5 linked regions of the Xenopus tropicalis genome follow. The main gene of each other region encodes a partner of the protein of the gene in region 4 in a complex. Links are inferred from orthologs where the notes say so. Each region holds a gene or a part of one and is shown on either strand. Other genes may lie near its edges.

The links.
Region 1: the proteins of orc2 (region 4) and orc4 are in contact, whole or in part, in a cryo-EM structure (PDB 7JPP), measured with the Homo sapiens proteins. The link is inferred for Xenopus tropicalis from reciprocal best matches to the Homo sapiens genes ORC2 and ORC4. Residues at the interface, in NP_006181.1 of Homo sapiens: Asp501, Asp504, Tyr508, Ser512, Gln518, Glu522, Val554; in NP_001177808.1 of Homo sapiens: Lys168, Asn169, Arg195, Glu200, Leu201, Lys204, Arg205.
Region 2: the proteins of orc2 (region 4) and lrwd1 are in contact, whole or in part, in a crystal structure (PDB 8SIU), measured with the Rattus norvegicus proteins. The link is inferred for Xenopus tropicalis from reciprocal best matches to the Homo sapiens genes ORC2 and LRWD1. Residues at the interface, in NP_001012003.1 of Rattus norvegicus: Val11, Pro12, Ser13, Val14, Gln15, Phe16, Val17, Gly18, Asp19, Val22, Leu23, Ser24, His25, Ile26, Leu27, Asp28; in XP_038945348.1 of Rattus norvegicus: Pro262, Leu263, His264, Phe265, Leu266, Gln267, Cys268, Ser270, Asn273, Ser274, Pro275, Leu320, Val321, Leu322, His323, Lys324, Tyr325, Lys326, Leu367, Val369, Gly372, Phe373, Cys374, Pro596, Pro598, Val599, Ala600, Val605, Ile630.
Region 3: the proteins of orc2 (region 4) and orc5 are in contact, whole or in part, in a cryo-EM structure (PDB 7JPO), measured with the Homo sapiens proteins. The link is inferred for Xenopus tropicalis from reciprocal best matches to the Homo sapiens genes ORC2 and ORC5. Residues at the interface, in NP_006181.1 of Homo sapiens: Val240, Glu241, Tyr243, Phe244, Glu245, Ser248, Asp396, Gln398, Arg401, Gly402, Glu403, His426, Asn428, Ala429, Pro430, Leu431, Met432, Trp433, Asp434, His435, Gln438, Trp445; in NP_002544.1 of Homo sapiens: Asp324, Lys325, Phe328, Leu329, Leu359, Asp360, Arg361, Ala364, Tyr367, Ser368, Ala378, Asn379, Phe381, Ser382, Gln383, Thr385, Ser386, Thr389, Asp400, Gln401, Leu402, Asp403, Tyr407.
Region 5: the proteins of orc2 (region 4) and orc3 are in contact, whole or in part, in a cryo-EM structure (PDB 7JPO), measured with the Homo sapiens proteins. The link is inferred for Xenopus tropicalis from reciprocal best matches to the Homo sapiens genes ORC2 and ORC3. Residues at the interface, in NP_006181.1 of Homo sapiens: Leu239, Glu242, Tyr243, Ala246, His247, Asp268, Arg273, Leu276, Val279, Ser280, Phe283, Glu286, Leu287, Leu290, Lys296, Leu297, His299, Lys300, Met302, Leu303, Gln304, His306, Leu307, Phe309, Tyr314, Gly315, Leu316, Arg320, Glu324, Arg327; in NP_036513.2 of Homo sapiens: Thr3, Ser4, Ser5, Met6, Ser7, Lys8, Gly9, Cys10, Phe11, Val12, Phe13, Lys14, Pro15, Arg20, Ile22, Ile26, Tyr29, Phe30, Lys32, Tyr47, Val111, Thr112, Lys139, Asp318, Lys326, Gln329, Leu330, Leu333, Tyr337, Glu589.

The regions. Positions count from the first base shown.
Region 1 is NC_030685.2:77,214,746-77,219,056, reverse strand, and holds the start of orc4 (origin recognition complex subunit 4), read right to left. Parts: upstream 3,029-4,311; 5' UTR 2,939-3,028; exon of another isoform or gene 2,927-2,938; intron 238-2,926; exon of another isoform or gene 224-237; intron 1-223. UniProt on the Homo sapiens protein: Component of the origin recognition complex (ORC) that binds origins of replication. DNA-binding is ATP-dependent. The specific DNA sequences that define origins of replication have not been identified yet.
Region 2 is NC_030678.2:46,208,403-46,212,225, reverse strand, and holds part of lrwd1 (leucine-rich repeat and WD repeat-containing protein 1), read left to right. Parts: intron 1-2,626; coding exon 2,627-2,745; intron 2,746-3,823. UniProt on the Homo sapiens protein: Required for G1/S transition. Recruits and stabilizes the origin recognition complex (ORC) onto chromatin during G1 to establish pre-replication complex (preRC) and to heterochromatic sites in post-replicated cells.
Region 3 is NC_030682.2:120,319,716-120,323,538, forward strand, and holds part of orc5 (origin recognition complex subunit 5), read right to left. Parts: intron 3,570-3,823; coding exon 3,521-3,569; intron 3,420-3,520; coding exon 3,329-3,419; intron 2,073-3,328; coding exon 2,020-2,072; intron 783-2,019; coding exon 670-782; intron 1-669. UniProt on the Homo sapiens protein: Component of the origin recognition complex (ORC) that binds origins of replication. DNA-binding is ATP-dependent. The specific DNA sequences that define origins of replication have not been identified yet.
Region 4 is NC_030685.2:54,031,320-54,035,142, reverse strand, and holds part of orc2 (origin recognition complex subunit 2), read left to right. Parts: intron 1-109; coding exon 110-242; intron 243-2,256; coding exon 2,257-2,353; intron 2,354-3,012; coding exon 3,013-3,159; intron 3,160-3,823. UniProt on the Homo sapiens protein: Component of the origin recognition complex (ORC) that binds origins of replication. DNA-binding is ATP-dependent. The specific DNA sequences that define origins of replication have not been identified yet.
Region 5 is NC_030681.2:86,911,521-86,915,343, forward strand, and holds part of orc3 (origin recognition complex subunit 3), read right to left. Parts: intron 3,464-3,823; coding exon 3,366-3,463; intron 2,411-3,365; coding exon 2,269-2,410; intron 1,765-2,268; coding exon 1,654-1,764; intron 444-1,653; coding exon 370-443; intron 1-369. UniProt on the Homo sapiens protein: Component of the origin recognition complex (ORC) that binds origins of replication. DNA-binding is ATP-dependent. The specific DNA sequences that define origins of replication have not been identified yet.

The sequences.
Region 1 (4,311 bases), about 23 Mb from region 4:
GTCTCTGTGCCTACCTGCTCTCCTCTGCCCAATGTGTACCCGTATACCCCCTTACCTACTCGCATACCCCCTCACCTACCCGTATACCCCCTTACCTACTCGCATACCCCCTCACCTACCCGCATACCCCATCACCTACCCGCACACCCCCCATACCTACCCGCACACCCCCCATACCTACCCGCACACCCCCCATACCTACCCGCACACCCCCCATACCTACCCGCACACCCCCCATACCTACCCGCACAGCCCCCATACCTACCCGCACAGCCCCCATACCTACCCGCACAGCCCCCATACCTACCCGCACAGCCCCTCACCTACCCGCACAGCCCCTCACCTACCCGCACAGCCCCTCACCTACCCGCACAGCCCCTCACCTACCCGCACAGCCCCTCACCTACCCGCACAGCCCCTCACCTACCCGCACAGCCCCTCACCTACCCGCACAGCCCCTCACCTACCCGCACAGCCCCTCACCTACCCGCACAGCCCCATACCTACCCGCACAGCCCCATACCTACCCGCACAGCCCCTCACCTACCCGCACAGCCCCTCACCTACCCGCACAGCCCCATACCTACCCGCACAGCCCCTCACCTACCCGCACAGCCCCATACCTACCCGCACAGCCCCATACCTACCCGCACAGCCCCATACCTACCCGCACAGCCCCATACCTACCCGCACAGCCCCATACCTACCCGCACAGCCCCTCACCTACCCGCTCACCTACCCGCACAGCCCCTCACCTACCCGCACCTACCCGCACAGCCCCTCACCTACCCGCACAGCCCCTCACCTACCCGCACAGCCCCTCACCTACCCGCACAGCCCCTCACCTACCCGCACAGCCCCTCACCTACCCGCACAGCCCCTCACCTACCCGCACAGCCCCTCACCTACCCGCACAGCCCCTCACCTACCCGCACAGCCCCATACCTACCCGCACAGCCCCATACCTACCCGCACAGCCCCATACCTACCCGCACAGCCCCTCACCTACCCCGCACAGCCCCTCACCTACCCGCACAGCCCCTCACCTACCCGCACAGCCCCTCACCTACCCGCACAGCCCCATACCTACCCGCACAGGCCCATACCTACCCGCACAGCCCCATACCTACCCGCACAGCCCCTCACCTACCCGCACAGCCCCATACCTACCCGCACAGCCCCTCACCTACCCGCACAGCCCCTCACCTACCCGCACAGCCCCATACCTACCCGCACAGCCCCTCACCTACCCGCACAGGCCCTCACCTACCCGCACAGCCCCTCACCTACCCGCACAGCCCCATACCTACCCGCACAGCCCCTCACCTACCCGCACAGCCCCATACCTACCCGCACAGCCCCATACCTACCCGCACAGCCCCTCACCTACCCGCACAGCCCCTCACCTACCCGCACAGCCCCTCACCTACCCGCACAGCCCCTCACCTACCCGCACAGCCCCTCACCTACCCGCACAGCCCCTCACCTACCCGCACAGCCCCTCACCTACCCGCACAGCCCCTCACCTACCCGCACAGCCCCTCACCTACCCGCACAGCCCCATACCTACCCGCACAGCCCCATACCTACCCGCACAGCCCCTCACCTACCCGCACAGCCCCCATACCTACCCGCACAGCCCCTCACCTACCCGCACAGCCCCATACCTACCCGCACAGCCCCTCACCTACCCGCACAGCCCCATACCTACCCGCACAGCCCCTCACCTACCCGCACAGCCCCCATACCTACCCGCACAGCCCCTCACCTACCCGCACAGCCCCATACCTACCCGCACAGCCCCTCACCTACCCGCACAGCCCCTCACCTACCCGCACAGCCCCATACCTACCCGCACAGCCCCATACCTACCCGCACAGCCCCATACCTACCCGCACAGCCCCTCACCTACCCGCACACCTACCCGCACAGCCCCTCACCTACCCGCACAGCCCCATACCTACCCGCACAGCCCCATACCTACCCGCACAGCCCCTCACCTACCCGCACAGCCCCTCACCTACCCGCACAGCCCCTCACCTACCCGCACAGCCCCTCACCTACCCGCACAGCCCCTCACCTACCCGCACAGCCCCATACCTACCCGCACAGCCCCTCACCTACCCGCACAGCCCCATACCTACCCGCACAGCCCCATACCTACCCGCACAGCCCCTCACCTACCCGCACAGCCCCTCACCTACCCGCACAGCCCCATACCTACCCGCACAGCCCCATACCTACCCGCACAGCCCCTCACCTACCCGCACAGCCCCTCACCTACCCGCACAGCCCCATACCTACCCGCCACAGCCCCTCACCTACCCGCACAGCCCCTCACCTACCCGCACAGCCCCTCACCTACCCGCACAGCCCCTCACCTACCCGCCACAGCCCCTCACCTACCCGCACAGCCCCATACCTACCCGCACAGCCCCTCACCTACCCGCACAGCCCCCATACCTACCCGCACAGCCCCATACCTACCCGCACAGCCCCTCACCTACCCGCACAGCCCCATACCTACCCGCACAGCCCCTCACCTACCCGCACAGCCCCTCACCTACCCGCACAGCCCCTCACCTACCCGCACAGCCCCATACCTACCCGCACAGCCCCTCACCTACCCGCACAGCCCCATACCTACCCGCACAGCCCCATACCTACCCGCACAGCCCTCACCTACCCGCACAGCCCCTCACCTACCCGCACAGCCCCATACCTACCCGCACAGCCCCATACCTACCCGCACAGCCCCTCACCTACCCGCACAGCCCCTCACCTACCCGCACAGCCCCATACCTACCCGCACAGCCCCTCACCTACCCGCACAGCCCCTCACCTACCCGCACAGCCCCTCACCTACCCGCACAGCCCCTCACCTACCCGCACAGCCCCTCACCTACCCGCACAGCCCCATACCTACCCGCACACCTACCGGCCCCTCCCGTAAGTCCCCCTGTTCTTGCAGCTCCAGTCCGTACATGTGACTCCCCACAGCCTCACTCCCTCCCTTTCTGCAGTTCCCTTGGTGACAGAATTCCCAAGCTTGAACTTCCTCTTGTCCTCACTTCCGGGTGCTGCTGGTTTCCGGTTCCTGTCAGGCTGCGGAGTACTGTGGGTCCCCCCTCCCCGGCCTGCCCGGGACATGCGCAGTTGGCACACTCCCATCTTTCTCCTGAGAAGCCAGAGAAGCAGAAGCAGCTGAGAGGGAAGCTGACACAGGCTCCGGGACGGATTCTCCCCATTCCCCGACTGGATGCACTGACGGGCCCGCTCCTCATTCCCTCCGGCTCCCAGCTTGCTACGGGCCGAGCTGTCGGGGTGCGGAGGCCGGGGGGAGAAGGCTGCCATTACCGGGCCTGGGCCGCACCGAGCAATAGGAACGGAGCGCAGGGAGCAGCCTGTGTGGGTGTGAGTGGGCACTTGGCTCCTGGGGCTGGTGTATGGCCTTGTGTGCAGCTCCGCCCGGGGTGCGTCCTGGGGCCCCTAACCTGGAGGGACATCTGCAGCTAACTGGTAAGTGAGGGGTTAAACCCCCCCCCCCCGAGTCATTAGGGAGTAATAGCAGCAATCCCTGTCTGGGTGATGGGCCTGTACCTGTATGGGGGAGTGAGGGGTCACACCGGTACTTCCTGGGTGAGTGAGGGGTCACACCGGTACTTCCTGGGTGAGTGAGGGGTCACACCGGTACTTCCTGGGTGGGTGAGTGAGGGACCAATGCAGTTACTCCTGGGTGAGTGAGTGAGGGACCAATGCAGTTACTCCTGGGTGAGTGAGTGAGGGACCAATGCAGTTACTCCTGGGTGAGTGAGTGAGGGACCAATGCAGTTACTCCTGGGTGAGTGAGTGAGGGACCAATGCAGTAGCTCCTGGGTGAGTGAGTGAGGGACCAATGCAGTTACTCCTGGGTGAGTGAGTGAGGGACCAATGCAGTTACTCCTGGGTGGGTGAGTGAGGGACCAATGCAGTTACTCCTGGGTGAGTGAGTGAGGGACCAATGCAGTTACTCCTGGGTGAGTGAGTGAGGGACCAATGCAGTTACTCCTGGGTGGGTGAGTGAGGGACAAATGCAGTTACTCCTGGGTGGGTGAGTGAGGGACCAATGCAGTTACTCCTGGGTGAGTGAGTGAGGGACCAATGCAGTTACTCCTGGGTGAGTGAGTGAGGGACCAATGCAGTTACTCCTGGGTGAGTGAGTGAGGGACCAATGCAGTTACTCCTGGGTGAGTGAGTGAGTGAGGGACCAATGCAGTTACTCCTGGGTGAGTGAGTGAGGGGCCAATGCAGTTACTCCTGGGTGGGTGAGTG
Region 2 (3,823 bases), on a different chromosome or scaffold from region 4:
CTGTGATAGCAGAGATCTATTGCAGGCAACTAAACTGCTCCGTGGGACATCAAATAAAATATCCAATACAAAGCAGAGCGGTGAATTATATCACAGAGAACTTTACATCAAAAGTAACAAAAACATATTTTACATTCTGTTAAAAAAAAAAGTTGTTTGTAGATTTAGATTAATTGCTAAATTTTATATTATGTTTTTATGCACTAATAGCTGTCAGGAGTAGAGATGTAGCGAACTGTTCGCTGGCGAACTAATTCGCGCGAACATCGGGTGTTCGCAAGTCCGCAAATTCACGAACTTTTGGAGATGTTCGCCATTTTGGGTTCGCCGCGGTTTTTTTTTGCGCCACGTTTGTTTGCCTCGGTTTTTTCCGCCGCGTTTTTTCGCTTCGGTTTTTCGCCTTTGCGTATACATAGGAATAGCTTGCGTTTTTTTTTTTTTGGCGTTTTTTTTACAAAGTATTTTTCAGATAAATTTTTGCCCTTGATCCCCCTCCTGCATGCCGCTGTCCAGGTCGTGGCACCCTTTAAACAACTTTAAAATCAGTTTTCTGGCCAGAAATGGCTTTTCTAGGTTTTAAAGTTCGCCTTCCCATTGAAGTCTATGGGGTTCGCAAAGTTCGCGAATATTTGCGAGTTTTGGCGAAAGTCCGCGAACGGGTTCGTGAACATTTTTGGCGATGTTCGCTACATCCCTAGTCAGGAGTCCTCCTGTATGCAAAAAAACAAAAATACCTTTGGCAAATCTGTGAAGCAGTGAGAAGTGGCACATTTTTGGGCCCCTGGCAGTTGGGGGCCTTTACACCAGGAGGCACCTTACCCTTATAGGTACTTTATACTGGTGGAAGCACTCCATCTTATGTGAATGGAACAATAGTTGGTGAACCTGTCCCTGCAAAGTAAGATGTTGCATCTGCACAGTGTATTTGTGCTCCCATAGACTCCCTTTACTTGGAAGCTATTCAGAAACCATATCTACATTATCAAAAGAATATAATGCTTCTATATGGGGCTGACTTTGCAAGTTGAGGAATGATAAATAGATGCATTGTGAGGATTTAGCTCTTTAGGTAGAAGCGGCAGCTCCTTTCACACACATAAGAGACAGGTACACAAGCTGAATTTTGGTGTAAGTTTATTTAACACAGCAGGCTTGACAGAAATCATACAGCTGATATGCCAAATACAATCAAAAAGTAGCAGTCTCGATGAACTGAAAACTGTCCTTCCCAGGGGACGCACACAGCCACACTTGGGCAGAATAAGCCAATATAGGTAAATGCAGGTTACAGTCACAGTCTTTTGGAGTATTCCTGTGCTTTCTCAGAAGCAGCTGCACTTCAGTCCCTCAGTCCTCCTCTGTGGATAAATATTCCTCTGGCTCTCAGAGGAAAACAGTTCCCAACAGGTCCCAAACAGGATAAGTCCCACAATGCAGCTCCAGTGTCTCACTTCTCTCCTAGGAGAAAGCAGCCCAGACACTACACTTGGAGCAATTTTTAACTACAGGTGAGGCTAATCAGCCCTCACAGCTGCACAGACCCTTAGGCTGATGCCATCATCCATAGAAATAACTTGGAAAGACGCGAAGCAAACCACACAATGCGGAAATACGCTAGAAAACGCCTTAGCACGGATTTTTCAAGCGTAGGCCGAAATACGCCAGTATTTGCAAAGCAAGCTATTCCTATGTATACGCAAAGGCAGCTGCCAGACCTAGCGGAAATACGCTGCGTTTTTTGCTATTTCGCACTATTAGCACCATGGAAACGGGATTTGCTTGCGTCACCAGTACTAGGCTGAAAAACACCATAGTCAGGGGCTGTGTGGCTTGTGCGGCGTTTTTAGGCAGAGAAAAAACGCAGCGGAAAAACGCCACATGTGGCATCAGCCTTAATTTCACAGCCTTCTGTGCTACTTCATAAAGGATTCTGGGAGGGATATACTTTCCTTCTATGATTTTCCCAACCATGCTACACCATATACATTTTTTTAAAAACATAGGGCTGATTCACTAAAGTGCGTTAAAACGTGCGCTATTTATAGCATGTGTTAAAAATGTTATTGCGTCCAATTTTTCGCGTCTTTCACGATTCACTAAAAGCATACTTGCGTTAATTTAGACGCGATGCTGCTTGCGTTATTTAAGTTGTGAAGACTATTTCTATGCGGTATTTCACGGAACGCGTGCTAATCAACGCATTGCGCACAAATAGTCGCCGCGTGCGAAAAGCCATACACGCCATTACTTTTGTAAAACTACTTTTATGAAAATGACCATTTCCCTGCAAACTGGAGGCTGCATCACTCTGGGGCCAACACAGACTTAAATAAATCCCACTGCAAAGTCCATATTGTGTTGCCAAAAGCTCATGAACTGTACTTTTCTATAATTACCGCCTGCCTCAAGTAGGTGTTATTTTTTGCACAGACAAATGCGATATTTAGCGCATCTAAGTGTTTGTGAATCATGCGTTAGTATTATTTCTGCTCGCTAATTAACGCATGCGATAATACTTAAGCAAATCGCGCATTTTTTTCCGCCTCAATTTTAACGCAAAAATACATGCAATAAAACTTATCGACCTTTAGTAAATCAACCCTCATGTCTTTTATTTTTTTTACAGAGAGATACTGTGTTTTTTGTGGTGATGAAGATGGAAAGATTTGGATATATGACCTTGATTCCTGCAAAGCAGACCTACAGAGAGGCAAATTATGCAGTGTTGTTAAAGAACCCACAAAGGTATTCACCTTATCTATGTAAAGCAATATTTGGTATTTAAGATACAGACACTAGTAATAGGTGGGTAATCCCTAAACCTGTGGGCCAGACATGTTTGTGCAGAGAAATTTGCCTTGGAGCAGGCAGTGGGCTGTTATTAAAGCAAGGCCCTTCCATGTTGATGACACACTCATACCAACCTCCTCCCTTCCAGTGACAATCCATGCCAACTCTTAGGGGCACATTTATGAAAGTACGAATGAGTCCGAATACAAATAATTTGTATTTTTTCTAATTTATAGAACTGTGCATATTTTCTGCGTTATTTTCGTTAATTTGTGCAACTTTTTCATACTTTGGGACAAAATTTATGCAACAAAATCGTATTTGTCATGCAGAGTATGAAAGTTTTGGATTCATTTAAGCTTCGGTATTGTGACTTTCCTTGGGCCAGGTTGGAGCTGCAGAGTGCCATTGAGCCCTATGGGAGACTTTCCTTGGGCCGGGTTGGAGCTGCAGAGTGCCATTGAGCCCTATGGGAGACTTTCCTTGGGCCAGGTTGGAGCTGCAGAGTGCCATTGAGCCCTATGGGAGACTTTCCTTGGGCCAGGTTGGAGCTGCAGAGTGCCATTGAGCCCTATGGGAGACTTTCCTTGGGCCGGGTTGGAGCTGCAGAGTGCCATTGAGCCCTATGGGAGACTTTCCTTGGGCCGGGTTGGAGCTGCAGAGTGCCATTGAGCCCTATGGGAGACTTTCCTTGGGCCAGGTTGGAGCTGCAGAGTGCCATTGAGCCCTATGGGAGACTTTCCTTGGGCCAGGTTGGAGCTGCAGAGTGCCATTGAGTCCTATGGGAGGCTTTCAAAATCATGCACAGAAAGATCAAAGTCAGAAAGGTTTTTCCGCCATTTACAATCGTTCGGATACAAAAATTTAATGACTTTCGGATCGTACCACGATATTATCATGGCTATTACGATTTTTTCGTAAGCATTTTCGTGACCTTTCCGATCATCAGAAATTATCGTATCGTAATTATCATATTTACCAATTTCGGCATTCGAACTCTTACTTTGATGAATCTGCCCCTTGTCATCAGAGG
Region 3 (3,823 bases), on a different chromosome or scaffold from region 4:
CCATAAGCAACTGCTTGGAATCGGATACACCGAAAAGTAGTAGAGCCGCTATGTAATTTCACAAAGCTGAACCCCCTATACATTTCTGCTCTGATCAAGAATTGGCCTATTATTAAAGCCCCACTAGGAACCCATCTTCAAAGTAAGTGAATCCAGTACCTCACTGAAATTACCCAGAGACAGAACTGTGATAGAGTCTCTAAACTTACTACTTCTGGGCTTTCCTCTTCCATTTTTAGGCAAGTGCTTGCTTGGATCCACATAAAGAGAACCGATTTCTACATACCCACAAAATCACGTTTACAGCAGAAGCCAATGGTGAGCCAAAGCTCAATTAATATACTGTCCAAAAACTCAGTGCAGAGTAAAAACTTGTCAAGTGCCTATACTGTGGATCCATGCTCTTCCCTTTGCTTGAGAAGTGGGACGAGCCAAAGAGCAGGAAATACAGATGACCAGAGCTCTGTCGCTGGGTAAGTATTGGGGGAGGCTTCTCTTGGGGCTGTCTCTTGTTCTGTCCTCGCTACATTATAAAGAAATATTCCACAAAGCTACTCAGTAAGTTGCCTATTATACCTAAGCGTATTGTATTGTTTGCTCCATAACACACTTCTGTTTCATGCCACCTCGAAGCAGGGCTCATGCTGGAAAGCAAAGTTAACACAATACCTTTAGGAAAAACCTTTTGTCTGTTCTTGCAGGGTTGAAGGATGCTAAATAGGCAGCGATGAGAAGGAATTTGGAATAGTAAGGTAACTCTACATGAGCATGTGCAGATAACCCTAAAGAGGAAATAACAGTTTCAGGCTTTTTAGTATAAAACATGGATAGTGATAAGGCAAAATTACTGTTACGGTGGAAGCAAACTGGTACGACAGTCTAAGGCCATGGCCTATGGTGAGATTAGTTGCCTGTGGTTTATTTCAGCTACCGTGGGTACCTTTTCTCCCTGAAAGGCCTTTTCAACAGCAATAAAGTTAATTGCTGGTGGAAAGGTATACAGGGTGCTTCTTTATTTGATGTTGCCCGAAGCTTTCTCCTGTAGGAAACTTCCCACCGGAAATTCACTTAATTACCAGTGGGAAGGCCTTCTGGAATATTAGTTATTATTATTAACATTTATTTATAAAGCGCCAACATATTCCGCAGAGCTGTAAAATAGGTGGATTACATACATTGGACATACAGAGTAACATATAAAGCAACCAATAACTAATATAGGAGGTGAAGAGATCCCTGCCCAAAAGAGCTTACAATCTACAAGTTACCCACGGCAGCCAAGATCTAACAACGTGGCAATTAATCTTCCCAATGGCCCATGGCCCTAACAGGCTAATAAGTGCAGAAGAACAAAGTTTCATATTTTTGGCTCCAGAAGGAAATAGCTTATGTCTTTAATAGATTTGTGCAAAAATCTGGCCACTGAATCTAGTCACAAAAGATATACCGGACAGCTAAAGAAATAGCAGCTAGCCAAATACAGTAAGATATTGAGGACATGCTAAAGCAGTAAAGCTGGCAATGTACCGTTCAGTATGTCCTGCGTACTCTCAAGACTGATTTATCAACTAATTTTGCCATGCATAAGGCCAGAAGGAAAGCTTCACTGATATTTGGAGGACCACCATGGGCCATAGATGAGGTTCTCTCCTAAAAGGTCTGCACAAACCATATGACATGATCATTAACGTAAGCACCAAACAATCAGGTCAGCCTCATTTTCCCCACCTCCTGGCAACCTCACCAAAGATTATCCTAGCCTAACTGGCCAGCTGAAGACAGTAACACAATGTGTACTTGGATAGTTATTTTAAAGAGATCAACAAACCTTAAGCTTAAACAGTGTCGTTGTTCACATAGTTAACCACCAGGTTCTGCTGCAGAACCAGAACATATGAATAAAGTCCATCACTACAAGAAGCCAAATATTAGTGCCATTTTATTCAGTCACTTCCATAAATTCACTGCAGGTTTGTTTTGGTATCAGAAAGGTTATTATTCCTCTGGTGCAGACTATACCTTTGAGGTGGGATGCTTCTCTGTCTTCTTGCTGGATTCTCTCCCACTGCGAACTGAAATAAAAAGTACATTACCTAATCAACAGCTTTTTATAAACACTTTATTGCTGTAGCCCCTAAATTGCAGAATTCAATTTATCATAAAGTAGAGAGTTGTGTGGAAATTAAAACCATACAGTAAATAAAAACTCTTTCAGAAAAATATGGATATTCAAACAAAATTCACCAAAAGCACCACACTGGCTCAAGCTGTGCATCAACATCACGTCAGTCGGCTGCCTGATACACAGAAGGGCAAGGGGGGATATGACCATGCCTAAAAATTGATACCACTATACCCCCCAGAATGAATACTTAACCAACAGAAAGTTTATATCATATTAAGTGACCTATTAAAGGATCTCGCCAAACAAATATATCAGTAAATATTGCCCTTCTACATCTCTTTCTTTGAGGCATTTTGTGTTGGTCTGTGTGCCCCCTCAAAGATCACCTGAGAGGAAATAATGCAGCTCTAACTGTAACAGGAAGAAATGTGGGAGTAAAAGCCCATTCATTGGCTGATGTGACCTAGCAGTATGTTTGCCTTGACTTGTTTGTGTGCACTGTGAATCCTATGATCCCAGGAGGCAGCCCTTAATTCTTAAAATGGCAGTTTTCTATTTAGGATTACCCAATAGCACATACTACTAAAAAAGTATATTTTTAGGAAAATTGTTTATTTACATATGATCTGGTTTATGCAATATATTTTTATAGAGACCTACATTGTTTGGGGTATAGTTTCTCTTTAAACCAGTGACTATTAAGAATATAAGTGTTCGTGTTCTGAAGGCAGGAATCAAGGAGGCATCAATCCATATGCTGGCCTCCTTGTAGCATTGCATTCACTGCCTTCTGAAATCTTTTATTGATGGAAAATAGTGCCTGCTTTTCCAGTATGTTTGGACTGTACAGTATATGCCCCAGATGGAACAAGTCCCAACCCGAACTATGAATGCAGCTCAGAATGGCTTTTCCAGCTGCAACAAACTCATTCAGCTGCATCAAACTTTCCTTTTCAGATAAAAAATAGGGATGCACCGAACCCACCCCGATGGATTCTGCTGCATCCGAACTTGAATCCGAATCCAAATTAGCATATGCTTAGCTAAGCTAAGCACAGGGAGTCTTACTCAGAAGACATATGTTCATCCAGGTTGATAGCCTTTTGGTCTACCTGTATCCCGGTTAATTGTGTAGCACTCTCACTGGCAAGTCCAAGGCATGCGGAAAATTATATTAATGTGAAATGGTTATCAATGTCTTACCTTGATATCTCCCGGAGATAGACAGTCTGCATGGCTCTTTTCAAATGTGGCTCAATATTTTTCCACAGTTTATGAGAATCACTTTCCTTTGCTTTAAACAAAAAATTAAAAATGTTTACACACCTCTAAAATGGTATAAAAAAAAAAAACAACTTATGAAGCGGCTTCTGAAATACAAGCAAGAAACTCTACCTTCTCCTTTTATCACTGGCTCACAGAATTTTGGGAAGTTCAGTGCAGCCTGAGGAAAAGACAAACAGCCAAAATGTTTTTCTGTGTTAACATACTACATGCTGCACTCTAAGGCAAAGGAAGGCCAAGCACAAGGGGAATACATAAATTGCATCCAGCATTTTGGTTACATTGCATAAAGTAATATAAACAAGGTTTATATATGAAGAGAAACTATTGGCTTCCATAAATAAATAGTGCAAAGCTACATACATAGTTAATTTTTAGTTGAAAAACCATTTTCATATCATGAGATGCCCCAGC
Region 4 (3,823 bases):
CGTGGTCTAACATTTTGTCTACCCGCTTTTCCTTTAATTTAGTCCTGCTTTCCTTCCATGTGATTTGTCTGTGTATTGTTAATATAATATAATATTTTTTTTTATATAGCTTGGGGTTCAATATTATCCTCTTTGGCCTTGGCTCCAAACAAAACTTGATTGAGAAGTTTCGTACATCTCTGCTTCAGGATTCCCTTAATATCGTTGTTAATGGATTTTTCCCTAGTATTACAGTGAAATCTGTAAGTGGGCATTTTAATAAATGCATTCTTGTTGATTACACTAAATCATATTATTCGCACAAGTCATTTGTCTAGTCACAGGTGTTCCAATGTACAGTTTGACTATTGAGGAGTTACTGTACTGAGGGACTTGCTATAAATATGTATTATTAGTAATAATTATCACAATTTAGGCTGACAGGGGAAATTAAAAATTTGAAAGTCAATTCAGACAAATCACTCATCGAGCATCAGACTGAGTCTTTAAGAGCATGGCAGGAAACCTTACATGGCCCAAAGAAAGAAAATAGGAAGAAGGAACAAGAGTATGGCATGAGAGTTAAAATTACTTGATAGGAGAATTAGAGGCTTAGACACATGTGATATATATATAGTGGGTTTTATATAGTGAATTTGGGTGTTTATACTGTATAGACAGATTTATTTGTTTTAAAATAGATTTTTTATTCATTTAAAATGAGTCATTGTTCATTGAAAATGGAACATGCCCTTAGAGATGAGGATTTTACAGATGAATTGGTATAAGAATTTACAGAATGTATATTGTACATATACAAGGTGTTTACAGTCAGTAGTAAAAAATAAATTAAACAGTACTAAAATAAAATAAACATTTATATGCCATATCTGAGTTTGTATCTAGCCAAGGGACACAGACTTTTTCATATTTCTCTGGACTTTTTCTCTGGAATTGAATACATGAGGTGATTATAGTTGTCTTGTTTAGTGAAATAGATTGTCTACAAAGACATGCAGGCAAACCTCTGGTGGCCAATATGCCACTGCCTCTTCAGTAAGCATTCATTTGTGAGCAACTCCAAGTCATCTGGAGATCTGGGGTCTTTGTCTTTGAGATTTAATTTTTTACTACTATGGTGCAGTTGGCCAGCTAAGAAATATTAGTTTACACGAAGAAACACTAAGGGGCTGATTTACTAACCCACGAATCCGACCCGAATTGGAAAAGTTCCGACTTGGAAACGAACATTTTGCGACTTTTTCGTATTTTTTGCAATTTTTTCGGCGTCTTTACGAATTTTTCGTTACCAATACGATTTTTGCGTAAAAACGCGAGTTTTTCGTAGCCATTACGAAAGTTGCGTGAAATCGCCCGATTTTTCCGTAGCGTTAAAACTTACACGAAAAGTTGCGCCTTTTTCGTAGCGTTAAAACTTAAAAGGTGAGAAGTTTCGCTTAAGTTTTAACGCTACGAAAAAAACGCAACTTTTTGCGCAAGTTTTAACGCTACGCTATACCCATAAAGATTGTTGTGTGTTTTTGGTTTTTTAAGTGAATGGGCATGGTTTACCTAAGCCATTCTCTGATGTCCGACCAGAGAAAAGCACAGGTTTATAGTGTACTGGTTTTTTTATTTTTCTTCTATAATAAAGCAAACAGTGCACCGTATCTTTATTGTTTGTTTGAAACCATTGTGCATCACATGCAATAAAAAGGTTTGCAGAGGAGATCACACGGTTTACGCATTACTAAAGGTCCCCATACACGGTAAGATCGCCAAGCGAGCGGAAGTTAAAAAAAAAAATAATAAGATTATGTAGGCGGCAATGGGGCAGTCGGTTCGGGGACCGCATCAACGAGCCGATGCGGTCCCCGATCCGACTGGATTTTCTAACCTGGCAGATCGATATCTGCCCAATTTCAGGCCATTAATCGGTCGGCCAGCCCGCTCGTTTTCTGGGGGCCTTTAGCCACAGGCTACTTCTTCAGATCCCTTCTAAAGAAGTATCCTAAAGGCCCCCATACACGGGCCGATAGAAGCTGCCGATATCGGTCCCTTGGACCCGTAGGTGGGGATATCGGGGGAAGATCCGCTCGCTTGGTGATCTCGCCAAGCGAGCAGATCTTACCGTGTATGGGGACCTTAAGGCTGCGATCCTTAGATCCCCTCCTTTTACGTGTTGCACATGGTACTATGGCTGGTAAGTCTTCCCAATAAATTGTTTAGAGTTTGTTTTATTTTTCTGCATGAATTCTTCCTCTTCCATCTTTTCAGATTCTAAACTCCATCACAGAGGAAGCATTAGGTCATCCTGGAACATTTCGGAGCCCTTTAGATCAAATGGACTTTATTTTACAGAGATTTAAAGAAGGTAATAAGAAGTTGTTTCAGTGTAATGTAGTTATAATGTCAGCATGGTATTCTCTGGCACATATGTCAAAACATAACACACATACTCCTGAACTTACAATATATATATACAGAATCATTACTGGTCAGAAATAGATGACATGTTTTGTTTAAGTCTAGGAAGAATTGTCCCTGGTAAGGTGCGGCAACTCCCTCTTCTTAATATGCCTCAGGTGGCAAAACGTGACCAGTTACCAGAGACAGTAAGGACTGTCCTGTTAACAGGGGTGGCAAAAAGTTGTCTCTAGTAACTTTTAGAGACTAATTTCTGTTTTTTAAATGGGAAACTCTGCTCTGCGACTTCAGAGATCATAATAGCATCTTAACAGAAAAGGGGCAATAATTTGCATTAATAGCATTGGTTTATTATTTGTTTACCTTATATGGGCAATAAGTAGGTGCAAAATAGGTGAACAGAAATATTTGCGCAAGTTTTGTTAGCTTAGCCAGGCTCCAAAGCAAAAATGTTTGATATATTGTATAAAAGTTTTGTATAGGAATAAATGACTTTTCAAAGCAAATGAACCAGTTTTGTTTCAAATGACATTATATTTCAAATAGATTATATTTCTCTAATTTACAGTAGTTCCAGAAGTGATAACTTTTTACTTTTTTTCACAGATCCCTCACTAGAACTTTATCTTCTTATTCATAACCTGGACAGCCAGATGTTACGAGGGGAAAAATGTCAGCAGGTCCTTGGTCAATTGGCTTCTATTCCTAACTTTCACCTTCTTGCTTCTGTAGACCACATAAATGCTCCTCTTAGTAAGTGTTAGACTTTAAATATATTAAACTTTTTACATAAAGTCATACCTTACTGTTCAGCCAGAATTACCTAAAGTGAACATAAACTTTAAATATAGACAGGCTAGAGTATCAGTACAGGTCTATTAAAAATGCTTGGGACCAATGGTATTCCGGAGAAGGGGTCTTTCCATAATTTGGATCTTCATACCTTTAAGTCTAAGAAATCAAACAGTAATTAAACCCAATAGGATTATATTACATCCAGTAAGGATTAATTATATCTTAGTTGAGATAAAAAACAAAGCACTGTTTTATTTTTACAGATAAAAAGGAAATCAATTTTAAAAATCTGAATTATTTGATTAAAATGGAGTCTATGGGACACGGGCTTCCTGTAATTCGCAGCTTTCTGGATATCGTGTTTCCGGATAACTAAACCCAAAACTGTATCCGTATTCTAAACTCCTAAAGAAATTAAATTTTTCACTATGCAAAAATATGATTTTGATTGGAGGACCCGATTTTAAAGTGGTTTTTCACGTATAAGATAACTTTTAGTATGTTTATAGAATTATGTTATAGTTCTCAGCAAGATTTCCACTTAGAACAATTAAAATTTGTTTCAAAATAGTACTCTGTACAACATACTAAAAGTTAATTTCAAGGTAACAGCCCCTTTGAT
Region 5 (3,823 bases), on a different chromosome or scaffold from region 4:
AGATTCTTTAATAGGTCACAACATAATATAAACCTGTTGGTTAATTATTCATTCTGGGGGGTATAATTTTCCTTTAAATGATCTATGAAGAATAAAGCACTTCCTTCTATATCAGCACTACGCTAGGCCTGGAAACCAGATAAGGTGCTTAGAGTCAGGCTTTCAGATTTATGTATATATAGTGCACATGCTTCATTGATACCTAATGTTCCTTTAAAAGGTATCCTATGCTCCAGGAGAGCTCATACAAATAAAAGGTAGCATCAGCCTATGAGAAGATAAAAACCTTGCAATGCTGAGCTGGGACAGTGCACGGATTTACTCATCATTCGCTCATGGCTAAAAACCTTCTAAACACGCAAAGGATACTGGGTAACTTCATCAACCTGCTGAGCTGAATCCGAGTCACTTCCCTCGCCAGCATGGACCACAGTTGAAAAAGCCTGCAGAAAAGGGAAAATGTATTTTAGCAGTAAATACACAGGCAGGCATTTACTGTAATGCTCTGATTTTAGTGACCATGTAGCTACTGGGTTTTTTTTTTGTAAAACAAGACATCTGGCATTTTTTTTTATCTGATTCACATTGACAGCATTACTTACCTACTTAACTATGTCATGGTAATAATATAAATACTCTTTGAATGGAAGCTGCATTATTCCCCCTCAAAAAAATCTTTAGCAAAGGCCTTAGTGAGTAATCTGATATACAGTGAGTAGCATGTCTAGGAACCGGTTGCCATAGCATTTCTGAAGGTTTTAGATCACATTAACAGCAGCTCTGAATTCTAAGTCTCAGATATACTTAGGAACTGGATAATAGGAATAAAATGGGGCTGTGTATTATAGCAGATGTACAAGTATAAGGAACATGAAGCATAAAATGATTTACTTCTGGGTAGCAGCGAAGTGCAGATTCAGTGTATGTACTAGAAAAGCATTCACTAAAGGGAAAAGAGCACTGCTTTCATTTTCCTTTTATAGCAGGCGTATATAACCTGCAGCCCATTTGATTTCTGCTGTTCTGCTGTCAAGGCATGCTGGGAAATGGAGTTGAACAGCTGAAAGAAAGCCATCTGGTTCTACTTGTTTTTATAGTCTCAATAAATTGCACTTTTCCTTCTCTTGAATACAAAAAGCAACATGCTACAACTACAATTACCAGCGCAGTACACATAGTATAACTTATAAGGCCCCCCAAAATGTCTCACTGTCTAGTGCTGCAGGGCACACAAGTACATTGTGAAAGATATTTTATATTAAGGTCCTGTGCAATAAAAACTTTACCTTTAACATTAATACAAATATTATTTTAAAAACGTAATTAGAATATAATGTTCTGTTGCCCTGCATTGATAAAGGTGGTGTGTTTGGTTCAGCAACACTACTATAATTTATATTAATCAGATGCTGTGTAGCCAAGGGGGCAGCCATTTAAGCTGAAAAAATGAGAAAAGACACAGGTTACATAGCAAATAACATTATAGAGGATAGTTAGATGCCCTCCTTAATGAGTCTGTGGCTCATTTTCTACCAGTGTTAAAAAGAATACTACTGTGTCTATATCATATGAGTAGTAGTTCTATCTTAAATAAATATGGTGACGTAGCAAAACCCACTCCCAAAGAACAAAAATAATCCTGCTCTTACTTACCTCTAGCCAATCATAAAGATTTATCAGTCGTCCGCACTCAAGGTGTAACTTGTAGGCAATGCAGATATCTGGTGCTACATTGGAAACAGATCCAGCCTCGTTTTCCAATGTCTGAAAATATGAAATAGTGCAGGGAAAAGAAAAAGAACATAAGAATAGATTTATATTGTGCATAATACGTGTGTGCAGCACACACACATTTCAAAAGTATGACATAGGTCAAACTTTAGTTGTCCTTAAACATAAAAATGTGATGCAGACAAGCATTGTGGAAAATGTATTGTTGCACTGGAAACTGCATTTGCCATATATGTGCAATGAGGAGTGATGTGCTGTGGGAGCTACCAGAGTTGCTTTGGGAGATGCTAAGGATTATGCTGAACACCAAAATTTTACTGTTTGAAAGGGATAACAAAGATTGTTTGTAGTTATTGTGCTTTAGTGCAGTGCTGCCACAGGCTATGGTTTTATTCATTGTGGCAATTTTACTCACTAGTACAAGGCCTTGAATTTTATTATGTTAGTCTTAACACTATAGACATGAATGAGATTGCCATTTATCATAGTGCAGAACAGGTATACAAGACATAAAGATTACAGATATACTTAACTCACCTTCAAGTAAGAGGCTGGGTTGTTGAGAGCAGTGTGCAGGGCAACACGCGGGGCAGCATTAAGGTGTCTGCGAAGGGTGCTGGCCGCACTAAAATATACAACTTCATGCAAAGGCAGCATTTCAGGGGGCACAAGGTATTCTCTAAAATAGAAAGTTTTGATTGCTTGAGTGAATGGGTCCTCCATTAATGTAAATTACACAAAAAAACACACAGGCAAATACATATTGCTTGTTTATAGCCACATTCCAGCTTGGTCATAGAAATACAATAAGGTTTGTTATAATAAAGATATTTACACACTGCTGATTAGTTAAAGAGCCTTTAGGGCTCTAAAACATGGTGAGATTAGTCGCCCGCGATAAATCTCCATTGTCACAGGCGACTAATCTCCCCGAAATGCCATCCCACTGGCGAAAATGTAAATGGCCGGTGGCATAGCATACACGGCGCCACGATTTCCCCGAAATCGCAGAAGTTTCCTCTCAAGGCAAGTTTCCCCTTAGGGCTCTGGCACATGGGGAGATTAGTCGCCCACGACAAATCTCCTGTGTCACGGGCGACTAATCTCCCCAAAATGCCATCCCACCAGCGATTGTGGGGAAATTGTGGCGCCAAATATGCCGGTGGGATGGCATTTCGGGGAGATTTGTCGCGCGCGACTAATCTCACCGTGTGCCAGAGCCCTTAGTGACAGTCTGTAAATGCTAAACCAAATCTGAACCTAAATGTGCACATGACAGTATATATCACATGTTGACATTAGTAGGCTGGGGGAGTTTTTTTTGTTTTGCTATTTCCTCTTAGAGAACAGCATCCTAACCAAACAAGATTCCTGACCCCAGCATGCTGAGAAACAAAATATAAGCGAGAGTTGCCAATAACCATCTCTGAGTTACGCATTATGAAGCACTACATTGGTTTTAATGTGGACATGACTGTTGGCAACCCTGATGTAGTGGTTATTTTGTTTGCAAGGGGGTGCCGTTCCCCCAGGCTGTGTATCAGGCTGCTACTGAAGAGGAGAGGTCAGAAAGTGCTGGTGAATTATTTCTTAACCCTAATGTAGTACAGGCACTTAGCTAAAATGATACAAACCTTACGATACAGTCTATAAAGTCCACGACATCTTGTCGGAGCATCTCAAACTTTGTGAGTTTCTTAGCTCTTCTTGTTTCTTTCATTTCTAACAGTTTCTAGAAACATAGGGAGGTGGTTTAGAAACTTCAGAGAGTTATTCATTGCAGTTCTTACAGCCCAACATCAGGTTCTAATAAAAGTTCTCCACTGACCGTGTAACAAACTCATTTTACACACTAAAGATCTAAATCTGCCTTCCCCCCCGTATTTTTTTTGCTGAGTATAAGACACTTTCTTGCCTACCCAATGAAAACACACAGCTGTCATAATGAGGAACCTTATATGGGTTGCAGCAATCCATATGGTCACTGCTGATACTGCTTACAAAATACTATTTCCTATACTCTGCTCCATTTTTGTGTTTCATGTCTAGTCCAAATATAACAGCGGAAGGAGAAAGCATTTCCTCACTGCAT